Linked DNA regions of Drosophila melanogaster. The protein of the gene in region 1 interacts with the protein of each later gene in a pairwise test. Each region holds a gene or a part of one and is shown on either strand. Other genes may lie near its edges.

Region 1 (17,163 bases):
CAATGTCGTCGAACCTAACAAAATGCTCTTCAATTACTTTGTGAATGATCTGCAGGATTATTTTCTGTTCTCAATTTTTATCACAATAAAATGGATTATCTTTTTGAGGGTTGAACAGTCCATTAGCCGTGTACCTATAAATAACTATATAGTTATTTTTTATTGCTTTCAAGACACAATTTATGACAAAACGTGAAAATTTTCCACTATCGCGTGCCAACATTTTAGAAACATTAGACTCATTTTTTTGTATTGTGCACATATCTTGTCAAAAAACATGTTGAATATTTTGAATGCTAGAACTTTTGCTTACTCTTAGGTTTAAATTTAACTACTCGTAGATACAACTTAATAAGTCTCTACTTCCCAGTTAAAATGACACTAGGTTTCAAGATACTTAAGTGTTGGACTCTGTAGTCACCATTCCAGGTGACTTTCGCTTTCAACTTCTTAACTCATCCAAAACAAGTAGTTCTGCTTCTGCCATATGGACGATATAATCGTATCTTTATATCTATTTATAGTATGTATGTACTTACATATGTACACTCATATGTGGAACCCCTGACATGGTTGGCTTCGGTTTAGATCGCCGACTAAAACGAAAACTTGCAATTAAAAATGTTACTTTTTTTTATTTCGTTGTCTCTTGGCCGGCGACGGCGGCTTTTGTTTATATTATTCAGTGCATTATTGTTATTAAAAGTCATACGGACAGACCCCCTTTTATTCGCTTGAGGCGTTTTCGAAGCGTTTCGTCAATTGCCGTTGGCTCGAAACGTTAAACGTTTTTTAGTGACGCTCCAGTAAGTCCGTACTACCGGAGAATATTATTGTCTTAGTGCTGGTAATTACCCAGTGACAGATAAACATACCTGATTTTGAGGGCGGGGTCACCGCCCCTCGGCGAAAGTCACCAACAACCACTCAAAGTCGGCACAAAATTATGAAAAAAAAATAAACAAACCACAAAAAAAAAATGTTCCGATGCGTAGAAAGTGAAAGATCTGAAGAGTCGTCTCCGGATTTAGACATTGTCGCCATATCCGAGACGGAATCTCGATCTCCTAACTCATTCAGCGATTCTCCAGTTCCAAGTCACTTCACGCCATTGTCACTGTATCCGAAAGCGAAATCACGATCTCAGATTTGCAACGTAGACTAATTTAATGGACAAATAAATAGTTTTAAGCCACTCTGCTGATGCAAATACATAATACCACATTATGTTATATTTTAGAATTCAATTATTATTTACTAGCATTTTTCTTCAGGGGTAGCCCTGAATGCAATTCTCACATTGTTGTCATATGTTTTTCTCCCACATACGAAATGAACGATTTCTTGTAGCTTATGGCCATGTCCGTCCAGCAATTCCATTTCAGTTTGCAGGCAGTTGGCAGATTGGATGAGCAATCGGACTGAATTGTCGTCATTGCCAGCTATTAAGTGTTGGAGGCTCTTGGAGCCTGTGCCCCACTGCCTCCCCCACGACCGCCCACCGCTGGACAAGTTCGACCTGTTGGCCCACCTCCGGCGCCTTATCCTCCAGAAAGGCAAACAGCGGTGTCGCCTAAGTGGGTCGCCATTCCAAGCACCACATTCAAGCCACTATATGCTACGTACTACATACCACAAGCAAATGACCTGGCCGAGATCGCCATCGCATGCTGGCTCATCCCATCTGCTGGGATGCGTGCCTCCATAAAGCCAAATCGCATGGGGGCCTCCCAAGATCGCACAGGGGAGCACTAAGCAAAAAGTCCACTTAATATTACAGTTGAAGCGAAAAAGGCTAATTGAATATTTTATTTATAATTTAGGTAGTTGTTAATTTCAATGACAATTTTATTTTCTTACTCCCATCCACAGAACATAATTTTATATAAAAAAAAAAAAAATTGTAAAAAAAAATCGATTTATTAATAGTATAAAACATAGTATGCAAAAAGGAAATAGGATAAGACTTAGGTTATCCATGCTCCTGTACTTTCGATTCCATTATTTATCTACAGCTTAACCCTTGTGTATCACATTGCCGATTAGATCGGCAATTTGGCATGGCTCGATAACTGTCGCAAGGCCAGTTAAGAAGATAGTTGGTTGGTTGTTTGGCTTTGTGAAAGGGGGGGGGGGGGTTATACCAGCTAAGTGGCGGCCAGAACGTTCGAGGAGTTGGGGTTACGCGAGCTCGAAGCCACAGAGAGGCAGAAGAAGAGAAGACGAGTGGAGAAGAGGAGGTTGACTGGGAGGAGGAGGAGGAGGAGGAGGAGCGTTACGGGCCAAAAGCCAAGTGGCCGAAACTGTGATGGCGCAGGGGCCCGAAGACGGGGCTTTCACCGACCGGCTGAGTTGGGCCCGCAACTTGGGGCTCGTTTCATTTGCCAACCAGCCGCGCAGCCAAACAGCCATAGTAATATCGTCGTCGTGGATAATCGTCAGTTTGGCGAGCATTAGACATGGTAACTGGGCTGCCCGTTGTGCTCTTGATCGTGGTCATGGTCGTGGATGTCGTCCATCGAACGGGTGCCATCGACTTTGGCTATCATCCGAGTGCCGAAGAGTCCGACAGCCTGGTGCGCCAAAGCTGGGGTCGCGATCTCCTTCAGCGTCGCGTCCAAGATCGCCGTTTTGTGCCGCGCTACCAGCATCAGACATCCATTCGTTTCGAGCCGCCTGAACTGGATTTTCAGCTTTTCGATGAGGATCAGGATCAGGCACCCTCGCAGCCGTATGTCTTTGAGTCTGTGGAGGAAAGCCAACCGGGATCCACAATTTTCGATCAATTCCATGTGCAGAGCGAACTGCTAGAGATTAAGGAACCCAATCCATCGCGCAAGCCCCAAACAAAGCCACAATCAGCCGGTAATGGCACCACATTTCCCATATACTTCACACATCCAACCACCGGGATTGTCTACGCCATTAGCCAAGTGGGTGTGGGTCATAATCCGAATGGAATACCCACCCAAAGTAGGAATGATAGCAATGCAATAGCGATCTATGTAACAAAGGCACAGTACGATGCCGATATGGAGAGTCTGCGGAGGCAATATGAGCAGCAATGCCTGCCAATTCCACCGGGAACGGTTATATCCACGCTGAATCCAGTGCATCATGGTGGCACCACCGCCAGGCCTCAGATCATCCGACTGAAGAAGCCCAAGAATCCAATAACCAAGCCCAGTAACAAATTACCCAAACCAAATTATCGACCACCACCTGTGATGGTAACCAGCGGACCCATCGATCATGTATCCGATCAGCTGCTCAAGCTGCCCCACCGAACGGGTAGCACCACCAGAAGCACAACCACCACCACCAGCACAACTTCAAGGCCAAATACACGTAGGAAGAAGCGCAAGAAGATACCAAAGAATAAGACTAAAGTGATCAAAAAGAGGCCGGGCTATGGGGCAAATAACACCAGAGGTCCGCAAGGCTCCTTGCCCATTATCCTGGGCAAAAGACCGAGCACCACCACCACAACCACCACATCGCGACCACCGCCGGCTTATACGCAACTGGAGAAACCACATATGCCCCAGGCCACACTGCCCACATCCAATGTCTTTAGTCAGCATTTGTTGAGAAGCGACTTAGAGCCGGCGGAAGAAAGTGAAACACTAGAAGAACAGGAACCACTTCAATCGGATGAGCAACTAAATCTTAGAATACGGCGTTCGGTGGAAGATGTACGAAGAGAGAAAAGAAGGGGACCACTTCACGCAAAAAAAAGAAATTCATCTTTAAAAGCTCTGATTAAGAAGAGTGTACTTAAAAATGCGGTTAAAAGAGCTAGGCTCCTGAAGAATCAGGGAGAAATGGATTCTTCTAGAACACAACACCGCAGAAGTCGTCGCTCTTTGTATAGCATTAAAAATGGTGAAATAGAGAAATCTATAAAAACAGAAAAGGCGACCAAAGTTCCATCAGAAGAAGCGGAAAAAGAGGTCACAGCAGATTCTACAAAACGATCACAAAAAGTCGTATCTAAGGAGTCCAAAACCATATTATCCAGAGGAAACCCAAATGTTGTAGCAGCTCGTCGGGTGAGTACTCCCAAAAGGCGCTCACCAAAGGGAAGTTCCGGGAGGCGAAAGACCAAGCAGCAAACACCACCATCCACGCAGAAGAAAGAGAAGAATTCGGGTGGCGTACTTCACATACCCACCGCCCTGCATCTGCTTCACAGAAATCACAGTCAGGATGAAGTACCCAAGGTTCCACTAAATGCCAATCAAAAAAAGAAAAGAAAAGTTAAAGAACGCAAACGCGGAAGACCCCAGCTGCCAAGTTTTGATATATTCGAACTCATGTCCGATGGCGACTACGAGGATGAGGGGGAGGAGGAGGAGGAGGAGCAGGACGACGATGAAGACTACTATTTCGAGGACGAGCACAAGGATGAGGATAAAAATAAGCCCAATGAAAGCAGCAGCACCGAGGTGGGACAGAGTGATCTCAAGGAAGATAGCAGCTCCGCGGAGGAGGGAGCTGATTTTGGAGCTATGGTGGAGGAGGAAACCACGACCACAGCGACTATATCGAGCAGCGAGGAGCTGGATGCCACCTCAAGCACCAAAAACTCCATGGCCAAAAAGAAGATTCGCATCAAGAGGCGACCGGTGGACTCCGATGAGGATTACGACGACGATGAGGACTCCGGAATTGCTGGCTTCTTTCGCATGATCTTCTACCCTGTCCAAGTGGCCATGTCGCGGCTTATGGATGGCTTTGGCACACCCGATGAGGAGGAGGACAAGGAGCCAGCCACACAACCCGTTTCAAAGTATCCCAGCTATACCCTCTATCACAGCGCCCACAGCAATGAAGCGTATGCCGAGCCGGATGATGAGGATTCGGAGGATGACGAAGACTCCTCCTCGCTGGGCAGCTGGTTTGGTTCCTGGTTTGGCCTGCAGCGACGCACTAAGAAGATCGGCAGCACTACCACTACCATGCCAGTGCCATTGCCCCCGCCCACCAAGGCGCCACCCAGTTGGCTGGAGTCCTGGTTCGGATTCGGTTCGACCACGGAGGCGGATGCGGAAGATGACTACGACAGTGAGTACTACAAAAAAGAATGTTCAATGTTTAAGGCCAATGCTTACAGATTGCAAGGATGTTAGGTAGTATTAAACTATGCCCAAAATAATAGTCATGCATATATAAAGGCAGTTAAAACAACTTCATGGTTGATTTGATATTTATTTTAGGAATTATAGTAACGATGATTAGACAATTCATTAATTTATATGTTTGGATTTTCTAACATTGTTGTTTTCAATCTAATTACCGTGCAATTAAAAGCGAGCCATGCTATGTTCTTGTTATTCGAGTGGTTCATTTAATGGCGAGATTGGCTGAATGAGCAGGAAGATAAAAGGGAAAACCCAGAACCTAATTGAATGGCTAACGGTGTGGGTCTCCCAAATGGGTTCTCGTTTTCCTTCACGCTTTCTGCACCGCTAGGAAATATAACCAAAGACAAACAGCCCAAGCACAATATATGACTTATTTTCTCCACGAACAGAATGGTTTTCCAGCTGGTTCGATTCGCGGCCAAAACGTAAGTTTAGACGTCGTTCCACTACCTCCACATCGACCACCTCGACGACAACAACGACGCACACACCATCGGCGGCGGCGGCCCAGGTGCCCATCCTGACCATTGTGGATCCACTGAGGAATCCACAAAACTGGATTGGCATTTTGGCCCATCATATTGTCAATTCCACTGGCAGTGCCATCTCTACGAGCACAAGTAATCCGCTCCTCCAGGCCTTGGCCACTCGAATGACCACCAGGGGAACCACTAGCACCACAACCACCACATCGCGGCCGGACGTTCCCAGGCGCATAAGCTATGACAAGTATCAGATTTGGCGTCTAAAGCCGCAGGATGAAGAGCAGGTCCGTGCACTGGAGGAGTTCAAAAAGGGCGAGGACGGCGTTAAGTTGCAATGGCTCAAGGGTCCAAGTCTCAGGTAAGCTAGACTTAAAGCTCAAAAATGTATGATGACAATCAATTTGGGGATTATTACAATACATTTTAAACCAAATCTTCTCACTCACCTCATCGTTTCAGAGGTCTTACGGATGTTCTTGTGCCACCCAAGATGCTCGTGGACTTTCAGGGCACTCTAAACTACGAGGGCATAGCGCACGAAGTGCTCATTTTCGATGTGGGCAAGGCCATCGCATACGAACTGACCAAAGAGGATTACCTACAAACCACTCGTCCCTCGAAGCCGCGTCCCACGGCACCACCGCCCATGACATGGAATCGTTACCATAATCACGATGAGATCGTCAAGTATCTGGAGACGGTGCGAATGCGTCATCCGCAGCTCGTTGAGCTCATCCACATTGGTCGTTCCTTCGAAGGTCGACCCTTAATTGTGGTAAAGATCGAATCCAAACAGACGGCGGCGGCGGCGAACAACGATGGTCTACACACCATCAAGCGACCCAAGCGGAAGCGGAAGTCGGGCCAGGCAAATGCCGTTTTCGTCGAAGCTGGTGCTCAGGGATTGGCCTGGATTGGACCCGCGGCGGCCACCTGGATGATTGCCGAACTGCTGCGACTAATGAAAACAAACAGTGAGTATATACACATATACTATTACCGAACTAGTATGTTCGTATTCTTAAACATCTATTTCACGATATTAATAATACTGGCCCAGATCATAAGTAACAATTTAGTAATACCTACAAAAGTTTTCTCTTAAAGTTTATTCAAATTGAAATTTTTGCAAATGATCGAATGGTTCGTGTTTCCAGGCAATACGTATAGTTTCGCAGTCTTAAGTCAGTTTAAGTATTATTGGCGCCCAACGTGGGGCTTCGTTGGTGGTTACTGCAACATGCGAACCAGTGTGTCGCGCATCCAGAGCACAATGGTGGGTGGTTGTTTCATCTCAGTCGGAATAGCATATCGTCTCGAGCTCAAGAAAATTGCCCGTCCCTCGCAATCCGTATACCTCGTTTTGCGGTGCGTGTGAAAGCCCAGGCTGGGTCCACAAGTGGCTGCCTTCTTAATCTTCGGCTTATGAGCACAGGTCTTGGTTTTGGATGCACAGCTCTTGGTCTTTGGCTTGGTGGATCTGTGAAAGAAGCCAATGCCACCACCTTTGGTTCTGGAACGGGCTCGATCCCGTGAATGACAGCAGGAACCACTGAGGTTGGTCACCTGCGATATGGCAAACGCAACGAGCAGCAGCCCGAACACAATGGCCACCGCCACCTGAATGTTGCGATCGGCGTTCTTCAGGTCCACCAGCAACTGGACAACATGGTAGCCCAGAGTAATCCAAAATGTTATCGTGCAGATGGCAAAAAAACTAATGGAAGATTACGTAGATTATCATAGAGTTGGAATGATCCAATCCTGGAATATATAAATATATACTCACACTAAAACACCGAGGACCTCCAATAGGAAGGTAATGAAGAAGTTAAGCTGCTCACTTCCGAAATCTGTTCCAAAAGTTCCCCGCTGCCCGGCGCCAACTTGCTTATAGCCGCCACCTTGAGCTCCTCGTAGGGCGCTCTGTACAGGTGGGCCTCCTGATCCCGTTGTCAATATTAATGGACCAGTTCCCATGGTTCCCGGACCTAGAAAGCTTCCGGGATCAACGCCATGGGCCTGACCGCATCCAAAATCACAGCCAGTTCCATAGCCACAGTCCTCATCGCATGCAACGCCCAGACTGCATCGGTTCTGGCCCAAATTAGCGGCGCCCAGACTGATGGCGAATCCCAGGGTGTCTCTGCCGGCAGGTCCAGCGGCAACTTGTTGTTGTCGCGCCGCCCAACCATGGTGGCAGGCTCCCACGCTCCTCTCACTCTCACCCCTGTTGCCATTATTGTAATCCCCGTTGGACATCATGCTGCTATACCTGTTCTGATCGTAGATGGCGTTCGGGGAGAAGTTTATATTGCCAACCATACTTTCGCTTACAGCCACGGGAGTGGTTTCAAAGCGCAGATTGCCCCCTGCGGGCTCATTGGATGTGGTTCTCGCCGAAGAGGTTTGGAACACTTCCACCATTTCCTCCGATATCCGCGTACTGTCCGAATCCCTGGCTTCAGCACTGAAGACCAAGCTAGCGTGTTGTCCATGCACCGCCGATCCCCGGGGACTGGCCGACTCCGGAATGACCATAACCCCCGGATTTACTTCTGACACTTCCGATGCGCCGGATTCTCTTAGTGGTACGATTGGTGCTCCACCTTCTTCTGGATTTTCGGTAACTTGTAGGCTGTGCGGAGCTCTTGCGATGCGAGAAACTCTTCTGAGTCGTTCGCCCAGAAGGGATGTCATGGTTGGTGCTTTATTACCGTCCGGCTGGAGGAGTAACGCTTTGGCGGTGGCAGGCAATGATGAGCCACTGTCTTCCTCTACTCCTCCTCCAACTGAAGAGTTTGATTTGGAGCACACGTATTTACGCGAGGACTTTCGGGGTCTTCGCCTCTCCATTCTGATCTTGGTCCAACTGGAGGAGAAGTGGCAAGCTGTAAAGGTCTAAAGTATACACTATCGATTTCTGGGTCTACAAATATACTGACTAACGGACTGACAAAGGGATAACTAATGTAATTTGAGTTGGGGAAAAGCGGCTACGTTGATCGGTTGAACAACGTATTTATTTTCTTAAGAGAATTAATATTTATTAACATTTATTTCATATGCATTATGTAAAGTTATGTATAAAAATAACCCATAAAACGTTTACTCAACAGAAAGCAACGAGGACGTGGAGTTCATCCGGAACACCACATGGTACATAATGCCGGTCCTGAATCCGGACGGATATGCGTACAGCCACGAGTACGATCGTTTCTGGAAGAAGTCGCGATCTCAGCACCAGACTCCACCTCCCAGTGGCCTCCTCGACTCGGCGATGACATGGCTCCAGCAAAAACGGGGTCCGGATAAGGTCTGCTACGGGGTGGACCTGGACAGAAACTGGCTGTATCATTGGGGCAAACGGGGTAGCTCCAAGGCACCCTGCAATGAGTTCTACGCCGGTCCAGCGCCATTTTCTGAACCGGAAACCAAGGCAGTATCTGAGTTCCTTATGGACTATAGGACGCAGATAAAGGTATGCTTAGAACAATATATAATTTTTATATTAACTCTCTAAAATAGATATATTTTTTGATTTATTAACTTTATTCATTATTTTTGCAGCTTTACATTTCCCTACAGGCCTATGGTCAGGTGATATCCTATCCGGTCAAGGCCAATTCCACTTTCAATTCAGAAAGATTGGATGATTTTCTGGACGTGGCGATGGTGGGTACCGATGGATTGCGCAAAAAGGGTAGTAAGTCCCGATATAAGGTCGACGCATCCAACGATCTAATTGAACAGCGATCGGGTGCGTAATATTTATATTATTTGCTTCGAAGTAGAATATAATAGAGATCTTTATCCGACCTTGCCAATCCTTTGGCTTCCTTGATTTATCCAGGCTGTGCGGACGCTTTTGCCGCCTACGAGATCGGAATTCCCTTCAGCTACACGCTCCAGCTGGCGGACAACGGAGTGCACGGTTATCTGCTGCCCAGCAGCGCCATTGAGCCCACGGCTCGGGATGCCTTTGAGATCATAAGCGGCATGCTGGACTACATATGAGGCTGGGATGCGGAGATCGGATTCCAATCGAAGACGAAGGCAGCAGGGATTTGGGGTGGGGCTACATGTGAATGAGTTTTAGTTCCTTTTAAACGGGCTTTGGTGGCTTGCGTTCCGGAGATCACTAGCCGTATTTCCGGAATACATTCTCCAATACTTTTAGCTGCATTTACGTATCTTATGCATTCGAAATTTTTTTTTTATTTCATATAAATTCCCTTAAGTTGAGATTTCCGTTTAGCATAATAAATATTATTGTTATATGTATGTATATTATAATTAATTATCAGCAATTTTTTTTTGGTAGTTTTAATCCCTTTTAGACTAAATAGTATACTATAATAAAGTCTTATATTTGATCGAGCATTCGATTGCTTCGCTTTCGTATAACATTTTGCATGGATGCCATGTAGGGAGATATTTTCAACGTACAGTATTTCTTAAGTTCTTGCCAAATGTACGCACTGTCTTAGTATTATATGCGGATATAATATAGCGTGCCTTGCCTTTTATAAATTCATTTTCTTAAATATTCGACCGTTCCCCATTTGGATATCTTTTGGGAAGGCAATATGAATAGCTTTAAGTCAATAAAATGGAAATGCAGTCTTAATAACTCGAAATTCGTTCGAGATTGGAAAATTCGTTCCAGCTTTGAAAATATTCGTCTAACCTGACAAAATGCATGTTTTAATAATGCATAAGGTAAACGTTCTAAGTAAGTATTGTTTGAAAAGCAAGAGCATACGGCGAATAACTACAATACTGCCAGCTATGATTAAACTCAGGAACTGGTTACCAAGGCACTGTAGTGGCTCCAAACTTCTGTCCTTCGTCTAGGCGAATCTCTGGGAGACCATGATCTTGGCCGAGAGCTTGGCAAAATTCGTGTGGCACTCGTTGCCGTGGAAATAGAGTCCAATAAGCAGCTTGAACTGGGCTGCTGACATGGGATACGGTTCCTGCGACATGACCACAATGGTGTCGATGCTTTTGCCCGCCTTCTGTTCCGCCAGATTGGCCAGGATTTCGCGGTAATTCACAAAGGATGCGGAGCACTTGGCAATTTGCCGGACCATTTTGTTCGTGGAGCACTGCTGCATCACAGGACGCAGTAGTGCATCCAAAACGAGCGACTGCAGATCAAAGACTATCAAATCGGGACTGCGCAAGGATTCGGCGCTATCCTGCATTTCCAGCATGCGAAGCGGGGTGCTCTCCACATCCACCAGTTGCAGAATGGTCAGGTATTTGCTGCAGTTATGGGCCTCCCATGGATAGCGCTTTGCCATTCCCTGCTGGCGACTGGTGATCAGTAAGACGCGCTTTTCTTTGGTGGCAAAGCGTTCGCATAGCTAAAAGAAATGCAATTTGATGTTCAAAAACCGACCTGAATCCGATGTTCAGAACTTACCTTTGCCAAATTAAGGGCGTAATCCTCACTGCCCGTCAAATATATATAGTTATTGTTGCAGTCGCTCAAACTCATTCCTTAAAAATGCTTACAAATTAAACAATATATATTTAAGGAATTCTAAAATTCTTCTGCCGCTATTATCGGTATCGGGATGAGTTTTTAATAGAGGTGCCGAAACATCGATGCTAATATCGATGCACCGAGGTTTTTTTTTAAATATTCCAAACATCGATGCTTATTTCAGACTATCGATGTTTTTAGGTTAATCACTAGAATTTCTTCAACTATTTTAATTAATTCAAATAATTAATTACTTTCAAATATTAGCTTGCAGTCATATATATTTTGGGTTTGTGGTGAAACTGACGCAAGTCGATGGACAACTTCGTCGGAGTCGGAAAGGGCATTTAGCAAAGCAGGTCAAATAATTATTATTACCAGTTATACCACCTTAAGATCTTGCATATGAAAAGAAATCTCATTGTTTTTCAGTTTGAATTATCATTCTTTGTTCTTTTGTTTTATATTAAATTAAAAAATTATTGAATTTAATAATATGCAAATGCTTTTTCTTATTTCTCAAGTGTAAATATGTATATATAATTTTTTTTAAAAAACATATAATTTTTAAGTCGGCTTATCGAGAAACAATACATCCGATAGGAATACCCTTGAGCAGTGTGCCCGAAATGATTATGCGATACTATCGAAATGATGTTGTGCAATATATGATAAATTAATATAAACTATCTATATCTAAAACTATTTCAGTATCATCGAAAGTTTATAAAGATCAGCTATTGCGTATATACATAATATGTACAATAACAAAAGTCAAATTAAAAGTTAAAAGTTAAAAGTTATGTTTTTATATATATATTTATTATTTAACAGTAACCAAAAAAGAATTTAAATGCGAACCTAGTTGGCATCCCCGGCTACAGAGTGACCATTTTGCAATCCGTCCAACGCCTAGCGGTGTCAGGCACTAAAAAATACCACAAACGGGGCGCCACCTAGAGTCCACCATATCAACCAGCCAATTGGCACATATAGCCGAACTCTTCTCGCACCCGCATAGCGTGCCGCGCGAGAGGGATAGCCGCACGCAGCGACCGATTGCTGGCAAACTCAACACAGCCGTGCCGACGAACAGACCGCACAAAGCGTAATGCAAAAGAATTGAAAAAAATCATCAAGTATAGAGGCCAAAAAGCGAACACAGCAAGTCGGCATATAATTAAACAATTGTCGTTCAATGCTGAGCAAATAAATGCGGCGATTGCAGCCCAGCAAAGAAGGCGAGCGGCAAATTGCGAATTGCGGTAAGGTACCAAGAAAAAAAGGGAGTAAAATTGAAAAGAAGTCAAACGAAATACGGATCAAGCGACACCACACACACATGCACAGACGCACGCACACAGTCACTCACGGTCGTGCACGCAGAGGCGAATGCCGTGTGTGCTTTAAGTGAAAAATTAAAGGCGTTCCGAATGCTAATTGCATTAAGGAGAGGACAAAAAGGAAGCTGTCTAAAGGATTGCTATGAATGTTTGTACTTTTAGGAGGCAGCAAAATAAGCCGATAATAAGGCGACCGCAATTCAGGCACACATATACGCCACACAAACACCGAGTCAGCGGGCCACACAGACGAAAAGCACACACACACACATGCCACTGAGAGCCTCCCATACAAGCAGACCACAACACACACACACACACATACAAGCGAGCGTGCCTTGGCAGGTGAGAAGAAGAAGAGGAAGCGGTGGAGGCAAAAGGAGGAGCAAACAGGAGGCGCCAAAGGCCCCAGAATATTGGATAAAATCGGAATAAGGCTGCATTATCTTCTCCACGAGAAGAGGAAGCAGCAGCAGCACTACCAGCAACAGCAGTCGACGAAGGAGAAGAGGAAGCAGACGCATAAGCAGCAGCAGCAGCAGCAGCAGCGGAAGAAGCAGCAGCAGGAGGAGGAGCAGGAGAGAGAGGGAAAACCAACAGAAGCAGCAGCAGCGTATTTGGCGAAAAACTTGCATTGATGGTAATGCATGCTAGAAAACCGCAGCGTATGAACGATGGGTAATATATCAAATATTATTTTCAATCTACCGTAATATCGGCAATAACAGTGATTCCCAACGTACTCACAATCACACACACACAGGCAAACTAGCACACTCATAATTGTATATTTTTTTGTTTACGTTCTGTCCTACTGCCATCTCGCTCTAACTCGCAGTGCCCGCGTTTCCTTTTTATCCTCAAATTTTCTCCGTTTACCCTAATTAAGTGATTTTCGTAAATAAATTTGTTTTCCCTATGTTTCTTGCTTTGATTTTCCCACTTATCCATCTTCTCGCGCTATTCATGTTTTTCGTCTTTTCACCACACAATAGTTGCCTCTCGCTCGCACGCGCTCAGCTGGCAAAAGGCCAAAAAAAAAAAAATAGTTCTTGTAACATTTACAGTTGCTTATTGCACCGCAAAATTAGTTCATATCCATTGTTTATCAAACGCGTTTCGCTGTTTGTTTATTTACCATCGCTTTTTAGCCGGCTTTCGATTGTCCGTTAAACGCAGAGCAACTAAAATTAATGACTGTCAACAAATCAATGCCGGCAATTGATAAGCGCTTCTGTTGATAAAATAAAGCTCAATCGGAATTGGGAAATCGATTTACAATTGGCATTTATTTAGTGGGTTTAATATTTAAATTTGATTTTCTAACACAAACAAAGGGATTTAAAATAGAGAATTTGACAAAAATCGATTCAGGTCAGTGCGTTTAAAAGTGCGTTGTAAATAAGCTGAAATAGCTGGTTAACTTCGAAATATGCACTTTGTCATGTCATAAACATTGTTGTGTTTCCTTCAAACACTTGAATATTTTCCCTTAAATCATTACATATTTAGAGCGAGTATAGCAGAACTAAACCAACTAAGTGTGTCTTATATACCCAACTTCATTTGAAAGGAAACTAATGAACTCTTCATCTTGCCCCACCGTTTTCCAGGTACTTTGAGAAGCATACCAGTCACACATCATACCAGGTAAGCAGACCGATCCGAAAATTCTCCTCGAACACCGCAATTAATCACATTTACATGCCAGCTTTTAGTGGACATTTTTAATTTTGTAGTTTAGCTCATTAGCCCGTAGTGCACCCAAAGCCACAAAAAAAAGAATGTAAAAGCCAATGTAAATCGTATTTTTATCGAACCGTCGATTTCCCTAGTGTCATTTGCTGATATTTTGGTAAAGAGAAAAATTAACAAAATTTGCAAATTGTATAGCCTGGATTTTGGATTATTTTTGGTTCATATTTCTCCTTCTTTGTCAATCGCTGTCTTTGTTGTGCATCCCAGATCTTACGTTCCCGTAACCTCATCCATTTTTGAACTGACCGAATCGTGTTTCATTTTAACCCATTCAAAAACGCGGCATTGCAGCCTGAACTGATCTTAACTTGAGAAACGAATCTGTACGCATCACTGCTAAAAAAAAAAAACAAACAAAAAACAAACCCAATCCGAATTCGATCATTTAATCAATTACAACATCTAACCGAACAGCACCAACAAATGTTTTAAATCGAATGATATATATGGTTAAAAGTATACAAATTTATCAAACTATATTAATTAGAAATCGAATGCATAACCAATTTCTAAACTCTGCCTAAGGAATAGGAACCTAATCAAATTAAAATAGCCTTAAAAACGACGTAGTAAACAATTATACACCAATATTAAAAATAACATGAATGTGCGGAACGGAAGAACAAACCAATTTCCAAATTGTCTAACGAAATAATCAACGACAACAACAAAAACACAAATGTGCCTCATACATAAAGCAACAACAATCAATTAAGACACCAACAAATAACTAATGCAAAACAAATAGGAAATAAACCAAAGCCAAATAAAGTGTGCCCTCGAAAACAAGCGACCAATTGGACTTTTAATTCAAATTAAAACCAAATACACTTCAATTAATTATCTATGAGGAGCAACAAAAACTCCTACGGCAGCAGCAACAACAACAGCAACAACATGGCTGTTGATCTCTCCCTTTCGACAACAACAATTGCCAATTGCAACAGCAACATTAGCAACCACAATAACAACAATAACAAAAACAGCGCATCAGCAGCGACGCTGGCAGCGAATTCAACGCCTTCAGCAGTGGGTCTCTGTCGCCTAGAAGTAAGTAACCCAAAGATCCCAGAAAATAATGGTTAAAAACAATAGTAAAATATAAAAACGCAAATAAAGTGATCAAAAACCAATAAAGTGCCACGAACATCGTGCTGTGCGCAGGAAAAGCAATCCTGATAAGGAATAAACAAAAAACATTCAAATTAAGGAACAAATAAAATTACTTAATAATGAATAATAAAAATCAAAAGAAGGCAACAGAACATGAAACATGCAGCAGGAATAAATCTTCCATCCAAACTCGTATATTTTAAACAAAAATCTGACTAAAACGACACACAAATCGCCGCTAATAAAAAACATCAACAAATTATGATTTACATACCAAACACCCAAAGAGTTATTATTCTATATCTCTTAAACAATGAAACACCACTCAATTATGAAGGATTCTTTATTAATTATTATAAAATTTTTTGATAAACACAAGATTGGAATTTTATGGATGATCCCAAAATTTACGATGGACAACAAACAAGGATTTTAATTTTGATTAATATTAAACTGGACAATTAGATTTTCAGTTTGGATAACCTGAAGACAACGACCAATATGAACCAAAAACGAAAGTATCACTTAAAAAAATCCTAAATAATTAGTTTCAATTAATATATAATTTACTCAGGAGACGATAAACCAAAACACACACCAAACACACGACACATTTCAAAATTCTTCTCGATTACACATTTGATTTCTCAAACCATCGGGAGTTTCATTTCACCCAACTTTCTTTTTGTATCCTTTCGTTTCCATTGGCAATAATCACAAGCGAGAAAATTGGCAAAAGTAGCTGGCATTATGCATTAACTTATGATTTTCCTATTGAGTAGATTTAGTTCAACTAACCAACCACCCAACTTCAAAAGTTACAACTAAACCGAGACTTAAATCAACCGCTATTAAGAATGCAATACTAAATATACCAGTGGGTTGGTACTATCCAAGAGATTCAGTAAGGATTTCCTAAATTAATCCCATTTGTTGGAACACGAAAAACTCATATATTGGCTACATTACTTGATGTACTGATTATATTGACCACATCTTGAATCCTTACTGCGATTTCTTAGAGAGTACTCGACAAACATTGTATTTTGTAGCACTGTGCAATTGATTTTGGGAATGTAAATCGACTAAAAACTGTGTGCGCTTTTATTTACCCGTGCAGAGCTCAAAGTACAGCAGTTCAAAGCGCGACTACGAACGCGATCGTTCCTCCAATTATCGCGATCGTGACCTGTCGCCAGGCGCTGGCGGTGGAGGAGGCGGCGGATCCGCTGGAGGAGGTGGCGGCGGTAGCGGAAATGGCGGCGGACCATTGAACAATGGCAACAGCTACCGCTCCCAGTCGCCGGACATTGATTCGCCGTCGTCCCGTTCGCACGATCTGCGCGACCGCAGCGATCATCGGGGCGGAGGTGGCGGCAATGGGCGTGGCGGCAGTGGCGAGCGGTACAGCTTTATGCAGAAGATGCGAGATCGAGATCGGGATGTCTACAAGAAGGATAAATATTCAGGTGAGTTAGCGCAGCTGCAAGTTGGAGTTGTATACCATAACAATACATTATTCTATTCTTCATAGATAAACGTGATCGGCGTGGCAACGATCGCGATTCGGAGTCGTCGTATCGCACCAACCATGATAGGGATCGTCGTGGCGGAGGAGGCAGCGGAGGCGGCAGCGGCAAGCTCTGCTCCTCGCGGGAGAACGACAAACGATCCGGGTCCGACGATCGCGATCGAGATCGGGATCGAGATCTGCGCGACTTGCGCGACAAGCGGGACCGCGGTTCCGATCGCGACAGGGACATGTACAAGAAGGACAAGTACGCAGGTAGGTCCAAGCGCCCATTTACCCCACATCTCCCCTT
Region 2 (16,613 bases), on another chromosome or scaffold:
TTTGGTATTTAATTCAATTATTGTTTCTATGCTTGTGAAAGTCGACAGAAATAGGAATTATCCTTTAAAAATATGTATAAAATTAATTTGTTAAATATATGTGCTAAATTAGATAATTATATCTAAAGGGGGTGTAGATTTTCCAACAATTTAAAATCTGAATTAATTAAATATTAAAAATTGTGAAAACGGTGTTTTTAAACACACTTTATAAGTTCAATGCTTTTTCTCTCACTGTAGGCTTATCTCGGTGGTGCCGGAGTTGATTGCTCCCGACGTCTGTTTTGAAGCCATGTTGATTTTCGTACGTCGTGGGAAATTAAAGTACTTCCCAGCTGCGCCCGCAACTCGAATACAAGATTTTAATTGCCGCTTGGCGAGATGTGCGGCGTGGGAATCCCCGAGGAGTAGTCCTGTTCATCGTGTTCGTTCTGTTCGTCCTGCTGCATTGCGCAGATGTGCAACCAACTGTTGGGCTAGAAGTGCTGCCAGCACCTGCAATCATATATATTTATGTGGGTGATGATGAGTGGTTTGAGCCACCATCCGACTGCGACTCCGAGGGAATGACCCGGCTGAATGGCCGCTGATTGCACGAAGGTGGCCTGCAAATGACTTTTTGATATGGCCAGCGAAATATTGACAGTGCTTACACACACACAATCCCACTGCCAAACTCATTGGGGATTCCCAATATTATTTGCTGCCGCGCACTGAGCAAAATCGATCTGATTCTGACGTTGATGAAAAAGCTGGATTGCCATTTTTAACAAAAATCGGTCAACAGCAACGGCACAATGATGAGCCACCATGGCGGATGAGTAATGTTTAATACTCACTCATCCGCAGTGAGGACCCCAGAATGGATGTGTGGCTTTGTTATACAGTATAATTCGCTTAGCTGCCTCGAGTACTTTGCACAATGCCTCGATGCAGGTAACTTAAAAATGCAGCTAACTTAATTTTTTTTTTTTAAGGAAAAATAAAGAATTTATTTCTTTATAACAATGTTAAACATAAAAGGAACTGATAATTTCATTCTTAATGATAAGTAAGATCGACATATAAATTTAAGTGATGGTGAATTGATTAAAACACTTTTTAAAACTAACTTAAAAATAGTCAGTAATTTTTTTTTGCAATACAGCTGAGTTTATATGTAAATTAAACAGCTTGTCTTCCATAGAATTCAAGTTTTGCAAAAACTCATCATTATTGTTTCGCATAAAAATGGACTTTAAAGCCTTAATTGCTGCAAACCCATCCTTAAAAGTAGGACGCTCAGTATCGTCCACATCTTCATCACTATGGCTTTCTTCGTTATCGCTGGTTTTTGCATCTTGAACTAAAGAGCGCACGATTTCATCATCATCTAATTCGCCGTGTATTTTGCCATACTTTATATTGTGGCGCTTGCGCCAGCGCCAAAGCCAGCTGGCGTCAGGTTCAAAGGCGTCGTTAAATTTTTGGCAAAATTCTTTCGCTTTTGCTAATATGACGTGCCGGTCAAGAATTACGTTCTTTGATTCCTGCTGTCCGAACCAAATGTATAAGGCTTCTTCTACTAAGTCGTGCGCTCCTTTTCTTTGACGCTTTCTTTTTAAACCTGACGCGGCCACAGCTTCATGAATTTCATTTGTTTTTTGTAAAATGCGGTTGACTGTGGATCTGTCGCATTTGAACTTGGCACAAATTTCCTTTTTGTCCACTTTGTTGGTCACTAACTCGATTATTTGAAGCTTTTCCTTTAGTGTTAGTCCAACGACACGCTTTGTTTTACCCATTTTAATAACTTTGTGTCATAAGAAACAAAAACACAAAAATCACGATCAAAGCAAAAACAAAAACGGACATGCGCAGATACTGAAACGAGTTGGCATTCTTGCCATCTTTTAGATATGCAAAAATGATTCATAGATGGCGCAGCTAACTTTGATGATATTCATTGAAATTGGCAAAAAAAACAGCTGATATGATGCACTTAAGTTAAAAAGGCTGTTATCTGCGATGCAGCAAACGTATGAATTTTCGTACAAATTTTCTATTCACACAAAAAAATGGAAAAATAATGCAGATATCTTGCCGATGCAGCTAACTATCGATGCAGCTAAGCGAATTATACTGTAGTTGTATGCCTTATGGTGTCCATATACCACTACTATTTAACAAGTATATTGTAGATATGACCACTCAATGGATATGTTCACTATTTTTACAGAGATGTTAAACAAATGTAAAGCCAACGGGTATGTGCCAAAAACATTTGTATTCCAACACCTTGGACGACCGGAGTACGTAAATTTGTACTTCAAATAAGTGAATTCAGACAGCATCCAGATAGCTTAACATATTTGTCATAGACGATGGTATCGCACATGGAAATCCAGATACGACAAACTTTTCACTATGTTTGGAAGTTTCCCAGCCAACACGAATAAATCCGTAGTCACGCGTCGCGAATCCTGTTCCTTTTTTTATTCTTTTTCTTTTTTTTTTTTGTTTCCTACGGACACGTCACCTGCGGCGATGTTCCATTTGGGACTCAGAGGGGGCGAAGAAAAAAAAAACCCAGTTGGAGATGTCCTTAACAGATTTTTGAGTCAACGTCTGTGCTGCGATTCGTGTTGTGTGTTCTTTCCTTTTGTTAATATTATTTCGTTGTATTTTTTGTACACACTTACCAGCGCTAGCTGGAAGGTCCCTGCTTCATTTACATTTGCTTCATCCTATTATCCTGGTTAACCGGCCCGTTCCCAGCTCTCCTTCACTCCAATCCACCGTCGTGCCATTTGTCAAGTTATGCTACCAACTTCAGCCCGCGGCTTTTTTGTAATTACACAACTCGGAGTGCGGGAATAACAAAGGAGAGGGTAGTGGGGAGTGGTGAGGATTTCGAGGTGCTTTTGGCCCGGGTAAATGAAAGCGGCTTAAAAAAGCAGCGCGTTCGGGGTTTTGTGGTGCTCGTTAAAATTTGTTGCTCTCATTTCGATTGTTGCTGTGGTGGTGGTGGTGGTGGTGCTGGGCTGCTGTTGTTTTTGCCTTGCTCTCTGTAATTGTTGTTTGCGCCGCTGTTGCCGATTTTAGTGCGATTCCATTGCCAGGACAGGCATAAAAGTTATCCGGGTATTCAGGGATTGTAGGTATTACGGTTAAATATGCAAACCGGATTGAAAAGCTCGCATGAAGTTGCCCGACCACGATTCATGATCCCCGCACCCCTCACTTTCGTTTGGCCACTTTAATGCTCATTCAATTTTCCAGAGCCCAACAATTAAGAGTTTTTAATCATCGACTAGTCTGCCACAGCAGCAGCACCGGAGGCCCAATGGGGCCCAGCTGGATTGTTGGCCATCGGATGGTGGATGTTGGATCCTGGATGTTGGATGGCCTTTGTATGGCTCCATTATGCGGTTGATTTACTACCCAAACAGCTGTGAAATATCATGGCCCTCCACGAAGCCTCTTGACCGATGGCAAACGTAACGGAAACGGGTCAAAGGGATTCGCCCACATGAGCATAGTTGCCTTCAAAGTTTTCCTTCAAACTTTTACCGCTAGGGATTTTGGAGGATATTAAAATATGGCGTGGGTGGTTACTTATGCATATAAATATATTTTATTTGTAACCAAAGTTTGTTCAGAAAAAAAAGGTAACATTAAGAGGAAGTAGAAGGTCTCATTCATTGTTGAAGTAGCAAAATAATTTTTGTGAAAAAAAGTAAGTTTCGCTAATAGGCGGCTGTAGAAAAGGGAATGACGAACAGAACCCTCTTGTTTCGTTCTCATACTAAACTACTTTTTAATGCTTTTCAAGTCCCCATGAAATGACTGCATTTATTATCCATTTACTGTAGCGAGTTAATGCCCTGATCCTCCCCAGCTTATCTTTGCTTGAACGGAACAGCAGCTTGTTTACACCCATATTTATCAATGCTGTCCGCAATAGGACTTTGACGGAGTAACGAGATGCCCCCATCCTGGACGGAAAGTTTTGAGCAACTCAGCTAGATAAATCAACTGGCATTAGAACGGGGTTATGCTGCTGTTGCTGTTGCTGCGGCAAGATAAATAAATTAACTCGTTCAAGTTGGCTGACAGATGGACTTAGGGCCATCATGATGGGACAGAGCCATCATTGCCAATCCCTCGTCTCGCTCCCCAGGCGAACAAACAAGTCGTTAAAAACGCGTGAATCCTGGCTAATTTATGGCTAATTAAGTTGACGCAACTTTTGTGCGGGGTAAAATGGTGGGGAATCCCCGCCATCCGTAACATATGCCACGTGTTCTCAAGCCAGTTATGGCATTTTTGTTTGAAAAGCCGTTTGCAACCATTTTCTCCTACACTCAGCGAAACAATGGGCGAGTCTAGTGCTTGACCGTTCTCGTGAATATCTCGTTAATTATGTAGCCTGTTATGGGCAGCTTACCATCGTAATGCATTTTTATGATCGCAAATGGAATTATAACTGCTGGGCATGTCGACTACACAATGCTCCACTTCCTTTTATTTTCATGCTTGTACTCATTTTGTTTGCAAGTAGCTGAAGTGCACTGCGAAAAAATCGGTGTCTTTAATAAAAAAATTAAATGGAAACTATGAACAGTTTGCTAAGCTGGAGTAAATCGTTATCTGAATCCTAAGTGTATGTGAATTCAACTATATTATCTGCTTAGTGCCAGATCAGTTTGTTATATAAGTTTCACAACCTTTTTTCTTGCTCTGTATTTACACACAATGCCATTACAAGGGCATAGGTTATGGTCGGCTACCCGTAGACAAACTCCGTGGTCCGGAGGATTGTATGGGAACCTCCACCTCAACATACAGACTACGCAACATAACCGTACATCTCTGCCCTCCAGTCGGGGTAATTTCGTAGACAAACATCATTGGCATTTCTGTTTGAGGGCTCTGAGTGCCAATTAACTGAACGTGGCTGCCCCACCTGAATCGGATGGCTGGGTGGTTGGATGAGAGTGCTCGACCCTCAAATGGCACAGAATCCTCCATGTACATCCTCCATATATATGTACATATATAGTAGATATCGATCAGATCCCTTACACAGGCTTTCAATGGGTGCTTATCTAATTGCTTACAGCAGGTGTCAACATTTTTATCATGCCATTAAATCAATTCGAACTGAGTTTTACGGGTATGAATAGGTAGAAAAAAATATAAAAAAAACACCTTAAATATTTTGAATACCTTCAAATAATTGTTGATTTTATAATTAATTGAGATATGAAAATCATCAAACAGCTTAATTTGAAGTCCTGTTTTTTCGTTGTTTCTGCTTTTGGTTAGCCATCGTCGGTGGCTTGACAAACTCGCTCATCAACACGTAGTCTCATTGTGGGATACTTTAACCACGCACACAACTCATCAGGGACCCCAACTGAGTTGGCTGGCCACGTGCCGCAGAGCCCCAGGATCCACCAATTCCTTCTGAAAAGGAATTCGCTGGGTGGGACTGGAACTGAGCTTTTAAATTAAATCACAAAATGAGGATGGAGCGACTAAGGCAAGCCAGTCCGCCGCTAAACCAAATAAATAAACCCTTTGGCCGCAGTCCTTGGTGTGCTTGGGGTCCTCGGTGTCCTTGCCTCTTAAAGGCGCATCCTCCTTGGGAGAGATAACAGTGAGGACAGGAAGTCAGCTTGCCAGTGGGAAGAAGGAATGTGAATGGCATGCACAGTGGACCAAATGGGACAATCGATGGCGAGTGAAAATCATGTAGTGAAGTTCTTAAATACTTATCAAGTATTTAATTCATTAAAAATGATGGCTCAGAAGCTATTTGCACTTTAAATTAAATTTATATTCTTCGGCCAGTAGAGTATCTGACAAATAAATCCTTTAATTCATCCACTGTGGAACGAGAAATGACATCTCGTTGCGCCTGGCAATTCGGTAGCCAAAAGGACACGAGGAGACCAAAAGGGATAATGGCATAAAATCCAACAAAATGAAAAGAAAGCGGCAAATCATGTTAAGAGATTTAAATTGGATTAGTCGACATGTGTGTGTGAGTGGATGTTAGTCTCTATCCTTGGTGGTGTCAACTGGCGGTGGCCGTGAAGCCCGCTTCTGCGCCCCCTGGATGTGGATATCCTGGCACGGTCGGCACTCGCTCATCTTGACATCAATTTTGTCACTTGATTTCCCTTTCTTTTCGGCATTTTTTTTATTCGTGCCCGCCCGTCCTGGGTTTTTATTTATTTTGTATGCTTGACACAATTCTACGTCGAGGACTTACGGCTCGAGTGTCTCCCTGGTCCTTGATGCCATTCACCCAGAATTCCGCCCAGAATCTGCTCCTTCGCAGTCACCCCGCAAAAAAAGTTCCGCCCACGTTCTGCATTTGACAAGGAGTCATCCTTCCCCGAATCGGGCGGTCACCTTTCATCCTCGGGAAACAGGAGGACGACCAGCTTGACATCCGGAGACATGGCGTCAGGTTGAGCCGTCGTCACAATTAGAATAACATTTTATAATATCTGGACAATTACAATAAATTACTTTCAGATCTTAACGCCAACGACCTGGTAATTGAGCAATAACTGGAAAAATGTATTGAAGGAGCATGAATATTTTCAATAAAAAGCAACTATTTTTATTTTTTAAGAATGTTTTTAACTGTAGGAGTAATCCGTTCTACATGGAAATTTGCTTTAAAAATATTTGCTAACACAGCCGGCAACTTTAAGGAATAAAGATTTTGAATTTTTCTACTTTGCTGATTTTCTTCAAAGAAGAATTTTATTTAAGGACACCCAAAATTTTAGTTCCAGGATCTAAGGCATTGGAATGACATTTTTCAGGACCTGCTATTGTATGATTTGCAGTGGCAGTCCAGAACAGTAGACAACCATATTAAGACCATTAGATTTGAGCTATATTCCAAATATTTTTCTCCATTTACGAATTATCTTTTGGCTCCGGCTTCTTACGATACTTAACTTGAGACGTATAGATATCGTAGCCCAAACTGATGGTGTTGTCATAGAATACCCTGTATTGCGGCTTGATCAGCAGAAAGTTGATGAACTGTGCCAATGGCCACACGGTCCACTCAGCAGCGTACAGTACTAAGGCCTTCTCCCTAATCTCCTGCTCCAGCTCCTCCCACGTATTGTCCTCCAGAATGGCCATTGTGAGAAAGAATACGGCGATGTAAAAGGGTGAGCAGATGAACTGGTCCAGCAAAATCTTGACTACAACCACCTTATAGGTGCGCTTCGGAAACAAGTAGTCCAGATGTTGGTACCAATAGTGGCACACCAGGCCCACCGTCAACCCGGATATGCCCATCCTAATGGTACGCGTTCGGTTCCAATCCGGAAGCTCTCCTATGAGGCGCTCATAGGACTGCTCCATGGTATCGCCCACCATGCTCAGGCCCACAGAGATCCCGATGTTGGTAAATAGGAGATACTTTGGGCTGAAGGCTATCTGATGAAACCGGTCCATGGCATTCGTCATTCGCCTCCATAGCACTCGTAGAGCCATCTAGGATCCCCTGTTCCTGGTGGTGCCTCCCCCTATTCTAATCATCTTGACACATTTCTCTAAGAAACTCGAATAACTATTTAGAAGTGTGTTTCGGCTTATAAATTTCATACTGGGTGGAATCAAAGCAGCTGATAACTAGATCCTATAAATCATAATAGATATTTAATTGGTCTTATAAATGTTTTCATTTTAATAAATACATTATCCTTTATTTATTTCTAATGTTTTATATCTTAATGCTTATCAAAGATATTTGAAACGAGTTTCACGCCACGTTAGCAAGAATTCTGCAACCACCCTCGAAATTCCAATCAAAGTTTTAATCAAAATGCCGCAGGAATGCCCTTATATATTTGTTAAAGATAATGGCGAAACCGCCACTAGAAATTATTCTCTACAAAACAAAAGGATTCGAAAAGGATAAAGGGAATTTGGCATTTAGCTGCGAAAACAAAACACAAACAGGCAATGAAATCAATTTGGCGCCAGCAACACGAAATGAGTTTTCGCAGGATTTGTTGAGGTAGCCAAAGCGGGCTCCAACTTGTATCTAACGCCTGAGCAGAGGACCGCCAACCGCCGTTGAAAGGACCCAAAAGGGTTGCCCGCCCACACGCACCGAAGACACACAACAAAAAAAAAAAAAAGGAATCGCTTTGCTCGGCATTCAAATGAGGCCTTCTCTCCGCTCGATAATCCCCAGCCCACATGTTGCTCCGCCGCATCACCAGCATCCTCCCTACTTTAGGGGTTTGAGTGTTTTGGGGTCTTGACGCCTCCGGCGGGCAATTTTTTGCCATCCCGGGTGTCGGTGAGTTAATACTGCCAAATCATTTGCACGCGATTCCCAACCGCAGAATCCAAATGCAACCCCTTTGCGCCCCTTGGGGAAATCATATGTGCCAACCCTTCGTTCCCCCCATGACACGCTTTTGTGGGCCAGTGAATTGAAAAATATTTACGGCCTTCTACGATCTACGCTAAAATCCAATTTTATTTTTATATTCCGTCGAAATCCGCCATAAAACCGTGTTCCACCAACGCGCCTGCCCCGTTTTCAGTTCCCCGTTTCCGATTGTCGATTCAACCGTAAATTCAGCTTTTGCAGTTTTTGGGTTTTGTTTGCTGGGTGTTCGGGGTTTTCTAAAATTCCTCCCATATCAAATGATTCTGACAGCACCGGAGGTCGTGGGGTTTAGGCATTTGTTTCATTAGCACCACGATACACAGATGTATCTACTGTTTTCCCACCAGTCGCTGCACTATTTGCCGTCGTTTAATATTCGCATTTTGGAAAATGCCAGAAAATGGCACAAACCAACAGAATTTAAAATAATAAACGTTAATGCGCAATCGAAAATAATCAACAAAAACGTGTCAGTGTAAATTTGTTGAGAAATAATTGGGATAGATAATTGGCAGAACAATTTTTTCGTTCATTTTCAAACGAAAAGCTTTTCATAAATCCCTTTTTCAATAGAATTCAACGCATTTACATTTTTAATCCCATTTAATATTCATTAGTTCATTTCATTATTCATTTTACAAAGAGTACTTTCTACATTCTATATCTAATTTTCCTATCACAGTCCCAAAATGTGTAACTCGCAAGGGGTCGACAACAATAAACGCTGATTCGGTTAGAATCCTTCGCAGGACCTGCCGTACAAAAGCCTTCTAGGTCTAATTCATTGTGCAAATGTAATGGGCTTGCAGCGCTCGGCTATTTACATACTGGCACTTCCAACCCGTAACCCGTAACTTTTGGGAGCACCGGAGAGATATGGAGATGCTATATTGTGTCGCCTGTCCCCAGCTCCATGGACACATGAGTACGTCTAGCTGGATGGTAGCCAGGCTCCTGAAGCGTGGCAAAAAGCTACAAAAAAAAACACAAAAAATGAAGAAGGAAAATGTACCAAAAAAAAAAAAAAAAAACAAAAGTGAAAGCGGCCATGCATTTTCATAGTTTTTCCCACTTTGTTATGCTGATTTTTCACATTCTCGTTTCCTTTCCTTTCGTTTTTCCTGCCAGCCAGCGTTCGTTCCGCTCTCATATTTTTTTCTTTTTTTTTTTTTTTTTTTTTGCCTGCTACTGGATGATGTTGCCGGGTTTTTAAGGGTTTTTGGCTGCCGAGTTGTGGGGTTCCGAGCATGTGTGCATTTTAATTGAATTTTTCATTTCGCTCAATAAAAGCAAAGGCCGAATGTGCAGCCAGCGGGCCGCAAAAAGTGTCATAATCCTTCGCCTAGTGTCCTTGGACCCCATCATTTAAAAGGACCCCGGACCAAAATTCGAGCGATTTGGTTGATTTACTTCACAGTGGCTAAGCATTTAATTTCATATATATGTATATATATTGGAAATCACTCTCTAATTGATTTCGAATCGATTTTGAATGGCGCTTTAGTTCATGTTTAGACGGCCATTCGGCTTCATTTTCCACTGGCTGCCTCGACTTCAATTTATGCAAATTAAATCGAAATGTGATTTTAATGGCATTTTCGGCACGGCCAGTCCCAAATGATGATGAGTGTGTTTGCAAATAAATGGAAGTCGAAAAGTTAAGCCATCTCTGTGTGCAGCATTTCGTGCCGCCGGGAATCCATTCCACTCCGCCGAACCAAAAGGAAGCCAACTATAACCGCATGTTCCGTTCCGGAAAACTAACTTATTCAATTAGTGGATGGAAAACTTTGGCTGTTTACTGTACACTTCAAATAAAATCTGCCCGTCGAGGGCAGACATCTGTGTATGCTTCACTTGTTTAAAAAAAAAATTGTGAAATCCACTCATTTAATTTGAACTTTTACAGGTGTTCTACATGTTTAAGGCAACTTCTCCATTCATTTTGCGCCATATTTATTCCAGGATCGTTGTCACATAGCTACTGATAGCAAAATATTATAAAATGCTGGCCACTTAATCCACTTCTTTTATACGAAGTATGGATTGCATAAATAGCTTAAAAAACAAATGTATTTCTTTATTTTCGGGCTGACATATTCTCTGAGCCAGTGTGAAAAACACACGCAGTTTTTTGTTCGATTCCGATAAAAATGCAAACATATAAAAGTCAGAGATAGCATTTCACCAGAAAAATGCGATTTTTCACAACGAATGTGTACCAAAAATATTTAATCAATATACAAAATGGTGGGATACATTTAATGTGCAAAAGAGAGATATTTCTGATTATGTCCATCTGTCTAGTTGAATATTTGTTTTTAGCTGCGAAACAAACGGAATTCGGAAACGAAATTCGAAAGGATCAAAGGTCAATTCACTTGACTCGTGCAGTCAAGCGGTTGCGGGTAAAGGAACTCCCGGCATATTTGAACTGCACCGCCGGGGAAAATAAGTCAGCTCACCGTTAACGTAAACGAGTAAATAGCCAAACATCCAAACAGTCAACACGTCGGCATCGTCGTCACCCGCCAGTCGTGCCAATTTCGTTAAAGCAAGCGAAAACAAACAACACGGCACCACCCTCAAAAACCCCAAACCCCAGTCACCAGTCACCGGTACCCAGTACCCAACCCCAAGCTCCAACCCAATTCAAATACAGCCAGCCGCCCACTTTGTACAGGCTGTCTGGACGATGCACAAAAACAAAAGAGCAACCAGGTGAGCAGAGGATGACAGGTGTCCTGGTTCGCGAAGCATGAGCACTAAAAAAAAAAATTGCCTAAAATCGAGCCTTTCATTAAGTTTTTCTTTCTTTCCAATTATGTGTTAACATGAGAACAAAGCTTCACAAATTGATTTGTTAAATATTTTCCTTTAAATATTTTGTTTTTTTCTGAAACTAGTATCTAGCATTTCTCCGAGTGTAAGTACCTTATTACCATGGGTGGAGCACAGCTGTTTATGAGGCGCAAAAATGTCATACATCATGCGACACGCGATGTCAGGCTGAGAGGACATGGGCACCAGGACTCCGGCCGGAATCGCTGTCCGTCCTTTTGGCTGTCCGTCTGTCCGTTCATGACGCGGAACAAGATGAAATTGGCTGGGGTCGCGTAAGCGGAGCAAAACGGCAGGCATGCAGAAAAGAACGTCGCGGATTTGTAACTGAGAAGGATCCACTAACGCCAGAAACGAAAAATGAGTGCTGGGATGTGATGGGGCTTTCTCCGGCAGACAGACTGCATCATCACCTCCATTGCCACCTCCTGCAGTACTTTACCATTATTATCAGCAGGATTGCACGGTCGATGTGGAGAGGGATGAGTGTGTGTGCGGTGTGCGGCAACTCCTGGCTGCTCGCTCCTCCTTAGGATAGGCATTCACGCCCAGCTAAGTGGCACACGAAGCGTTAAACTATTAAGCACATGTTGCCACTCGGCGGGTGATTCATGGAACGGGATGTGGAGGAGCTGCGTCACGCACAGGAAGTGCCATCGCCACCGCCACCGCTTTTGTTATTCGGCTTAAGATAAATCATGTGCATAAGTCTTGGTCCATGTCGCCATGCCGTGAGATTACTATATAAATTCTGGTTGCCATCACATTTAAAAATTTCATTTTATCACAGCTTTAGAAATTTTCCCACTGACGAATTATAATTTATATACATTTTATATAAAGTGCTCCTCCTTTCTGAAAAGTTAATAAGAATTACAAATATATATAAAGGCATATTGCTGTACGCAACACTAATAAAACTGATTTAAAGATTCTTGCAAACAACACTAGCTTAAAAGGGGGTAATAGACTAAGTGCTTTAGACTCAATTTAAAATCAGAAAGGTAAATACATTTCACTCGAAGCTTTTCCATTTGCACACACAGGCGCACACATTAGCTCTTTGAAAGGAGTGTAACTGCTGGTAAACTAAAGTGCTTAAAGCCAGAAAAATAACAGACAAATTAGAAACACACACACTCACGCACACAGGCGAGTCTGTCCAACTGAACTAACTTTTCAAAGGCACTGTAAAGGATATCACGGCGCTGCGGGGAGGTGGGCCACTCTAATTAGAATAATTTTGCGCTGCGTTGCGCTTGGCAGCGCTGCAGATGTGGCGCCATCTGGCGGGCGATGGCAGGAGAAAGGTGATGCCTGCAGGATCCACACACACACGCACATACAGCTATGGCATGATGCAAAACAAACAAATACACTGAGCAAAAAGGAAGTATGAGGATATAAAATAAATATTTGTCAATATTGTCAATACTGGGATTAAAAGAATATTTACATATTCATATCTAAAATGTCTATAGCTTTTAAGTAAATATTTAAATTAAACGACAAACACAAAAAGCATAAAGTAGTCTGCTTAATAAAGTTAAGCTATAATAACATTTAAATGCAACGAGACACTTTGAGTTATTCTTTTTCCGTAAAATTTGATTTCGTTTTGAATTGAGTTTTTATTGTCAGTGCACCAAAGGCACCTGGACCTGGCCTGCATTCCTTGTATATCGAGCAAATGTCAGGCCGAAAGGTCAACGAACCCAGGTGAACACAGAAAGAGAGACCGAGAAGTGATACTAAATATAATCAGGATGAAAGCATCACACATACGCACTGTGGAGCCGCAGGAGTCGGTGATGCCAACGGGGAGTGCCTTAAATTACAGAATTTAATTAATTTCGCTGAGATTTTTCATCGGCCGCCGCCGCGCACTTGACTTTGTACATTTGACTCATCTCCATGGCTCTTTTTTTGCCTGCCACTAATTTCCCCATCATCTGCGGTTGAGTCGTTTCCATGTGAATCACCCAGGACTTGAGTTCGCTGGGTCCCACTTCCACTTCCATTTCCATATCCATATCCACTCCCATTTTAATTTTAATTAATTTCAATGTGTATGTGGCAGCTGTGACTGTCGCTCGCCAGAAGTCATGGGATGGATTTCCCGGAGGCAGTGAAGCGGCAGCCAAAATGATTATGAGTAATTAGTTTTAATGGGCTCGAAGCATGTCCTGGTAGCAGCAGAATGTCACACTTACGGGCCGGGTGGAAAGCTCGCCAGGTACCCAGGTTACCTTACTTTTCGTCCAGGTTATTCTGGCACACTCTGAAGATGAAATTTAACTCGAGGGCCTGGGTAACCATGAGCTAAATATTTAAGTTGGTTTCTGAAATTACAATATAATGTTGCCTCTCAGCTACTCCACTATGTATATACACATTCATTTTGGTTGGCTAACCAGCCAAATTAATGGCACTTTAACTAGATACTCACATTGAAGTGATATGCTGGTTACTATGCGATTATTAAATTAGGTTTAAATGTCACACTTTAGAGGCAAGATTGGTCACACTTTCATGGTAAGCTCCAACTTCCAAACTAATTAAATAAATCAATTTATTTTTAAACAAAGCAATTGCAACGATGTACACAAACGGGTGGAATGCGAAAATAAAACAAATCATAAATTCGATTTATTGACCTTTCTACGAAGTAAAAATTCAGTTTACTATCTTTATTATTGCATATTAAATCAGCTAAAAATGTACATAATTCATAAATATCTGTGTATTTATAGACACACTAATTAATATTAAACAAATGGTAATTTATGACAGCCTCGGCCGGCAGCTAACTAAAATAAGCAGATATTAAATAATTAGGTTTGTTTTCCATTTATGAAAAATAAATTTATAAGTTTAATTGTATTCAAGCGAGATTTAAATCTAACATGCAGCGCATTTAATCTGCTTTGTCGACAAGTTTTGATTCGTATCAACGCGACTAAAGCTGGATTTGCGAAAACAATGTCATAAATCAAAATCAATTTGAGCAACAATTTGGCTGACATTTCGCAGTCTCTGCGCTCTGATCGGTTTTGCAAATAGATGAGTGTCAACAAAATATTTACGAGGATGCCAAAAGCTTTAGCTGCAAAAAGAGAGACAAAAATCAGACGATGCTTTGAACATTGAGCAGAAAGTCAATTTAGAGCACATACAGGAAAGCGGGTATGTCTGTACGGGATGCGGGATAAATGAGAAAATTGCGAAAAATTCAAAAGGAAACTGGGAAAACTTCGGTGGAACGAGTACCATACAAAATTTAATGGTGCGCAAATTTTGATTGTTTTACTTTGAGAATGGAATGGCATGGAAGTTTCCTTGCCCTCCTTTTGTTTTCATCATTTTTTTTTTTTTTTATTTTCCACTTTGTTTGCATTCGCTATTTATTTATTTCGCCAAGCTTTGAATTCGTTTTTCCACATTTTTTATGCATATTTCAGATTCAAATATTTTCCCAGCGCTATTTGCTTTGACTGGTCGCCGGGCGTATTTGTTTAGCTGCGGGCTTTCATCCATATACATTCACAATCCTCATTCTCATCTCACGCAGAAAATAATGTCGAAACTGGGCGATGTTTTCACTTTGGCCTTCAGGTGCTTTTGTTTCCATTCTCATTCTCTGTCCGGTGAAAAGCTGGCGAAAACTTGTTGTCAATGTAATTTGATTCCCATTCCACACGGCGGACCATTCCATATGCCCCAGCTTCCTTTTGCCGTCTCTATGATTACGCATACGCTCCGTTGGACAAAGAGCAAATTGTAATTAGACACAGGGGCCGAATGTCCCATGCGTGCGGACAACAATGAACGGAAGTTGTTCCTAGAATCAGATGTATCTTGTTGTTTTCTACCGATGGGAACGCCAAACGGTCCTTTCTGCGATACTGATGATACTGATGACAATAAGGAACGAAACTATGAAACACTGAAAATGAAGGACAATGGAAACAAAGAAGTCTCAATGTTTGAGTTTGTATTTCAAAAGAATCTTCTTTTATTATTTGATTATTGGTGAAAGACAAATACAACAACTCCAATGGTAATGAACAAATAATTACAAAATATTTGTAGAACATGCTTTCAACGTCAATCAAGAATTTATCTCACATTGAATCAACACTCAATAAGCTGTAAGTCATTTGTGTTTAAAATTCCGGTATAATTTGTATTTATTTAAATTTTATTCCGTAGCTAGATATTCAGCTTAAACCATGTTGCACTGCCAAGTGGAAGGGGCAAAAGCAGAGCAACGTGAGTGTCCTGTGATGCACTCAGAGAATTCTGCGGAAACTTTCAGTTCGGAGGAATCCCAAGCCAGTGACTGTAACCAGCCGTTGGATGTTCAAAGTCCAAAGCTGACAACAAACATAGAAGAGTCCTTTAAGGTGGACTGTAAGCTTTCGCTGAATACTCTTCTGTCACCTATTAATATCACCGATCCATTGCGTAAGCAAATTGATTTTCAGTGTAAATTGGGTGATTTATCCTTCTTTGGACCAGTCATGTGTTCTATATCAGAGTTTAACAAAGAGGAACAAACTATGGAGCCGTATTTTATTCAGGAATTAGATATGGCTTGTGCTGGCCAAGAAGTTGAGCAAGTTGCGGAGGAAAATGTATTCGAAACTGGACCACAGTTGAAGCTACCGGAAAATCAACCTATCAACGATTCGATAACAACAGAAACTAATGAAACGAAGTTACCGTCAACGGAAGCACTAAATGTTTTAAATTTAGCAGAATTCAGTGAACCAGTAATGGAAAAATCAAATATATCCATTGAAGAAGTCAATCTTACAGGAGCCGAAGAAATAAATGAACCCATAAGTGATGAACCAAATAGTCAACTAGTTGAAAGTGCTGCCAAACTACAGCCAAAATCACTTGGAATTCAAATACCTCCTCTACAGATCGAAGATTTGATTTCTCCATTAGTAGAACAACCGAAGATAGCAACTAAACTGGGTGTTATTAGTTTCTTGACAGGAAACAAGTTGGCTTTAACGCCCAGTGTAAGGCTCTCTTTTGGTGATAGAGTAACGACCAGGACAAACAAAAAATCCAAGGAAATTGTTCAACAGCAAGCTTCTAAAGCACTAAAGGCGTTAATTTCAGTTTTCACAATGCAGCGAAGGCTAGAGGCATCACAGTGTGGTAAATAGTTAGGAATTTAACTACTTCATTCCCATGCTAATCGAACATTACTTTCAGATAATTCCAATAATAGCCGATCGAAACGATTTGAACAACTAAAAAGCTCTTTAACCTTTTCACGAGTATTTAGGCAGAACATCTTTCAGCCAACTTCGAAGATAGAAAGCCGCCA

The links.
Region 2: the proteins of CG4955 (region 1) and CG5906 interact in a two-hybrid assay, tested with the Drosophila melanogaster proteins (one large-scale study listed by BioGRID).

Annotation. Positions count from the first base shown.
Region 1 is NC_004354.4:17,072,909-17,090,071, reverse strand, and holds CG4955 (uncharacterized protein), read right to left. Parts: upstream 8,626-17,163; 5' UTR 8,489-8,625; coding exon 7,422-8,488; intron 7,350-7,421; coding exon 6,863-7,349; 3' UTR 6,716-6,862; downstream 1-6,715. Other genes in the region: CG8945 (uncharacterized protein), read left to right, coding at 2,460-5,067, 5,537-5,990, 6,092-6,606, 8,752-9,113, 9,203-9,392, 9,486-9,649; CG4949 (uncharacterized protein), read right to left, coding at 10,486-11,004, 11,064-11,138; wcy (wacky), read left to right, coding at 15,074-15,277, 16,461-16,809, 16,875-17,126.
Region 2 is NT_037436.4:11,863,723-11,880,335, forward strand, and holds CG5906 (uncharacterized protein), read right to left. Parts: upstream 7,584-16,613; 5' UTR 7,516-7,583; coding exon 6,925-7,515; 3' UTR 6,735-6,924; downstream 1-6,734. Other genes in the region: Sprn (spermitin), read left to right, coding at 15,499-16,441, 16,499-16,613.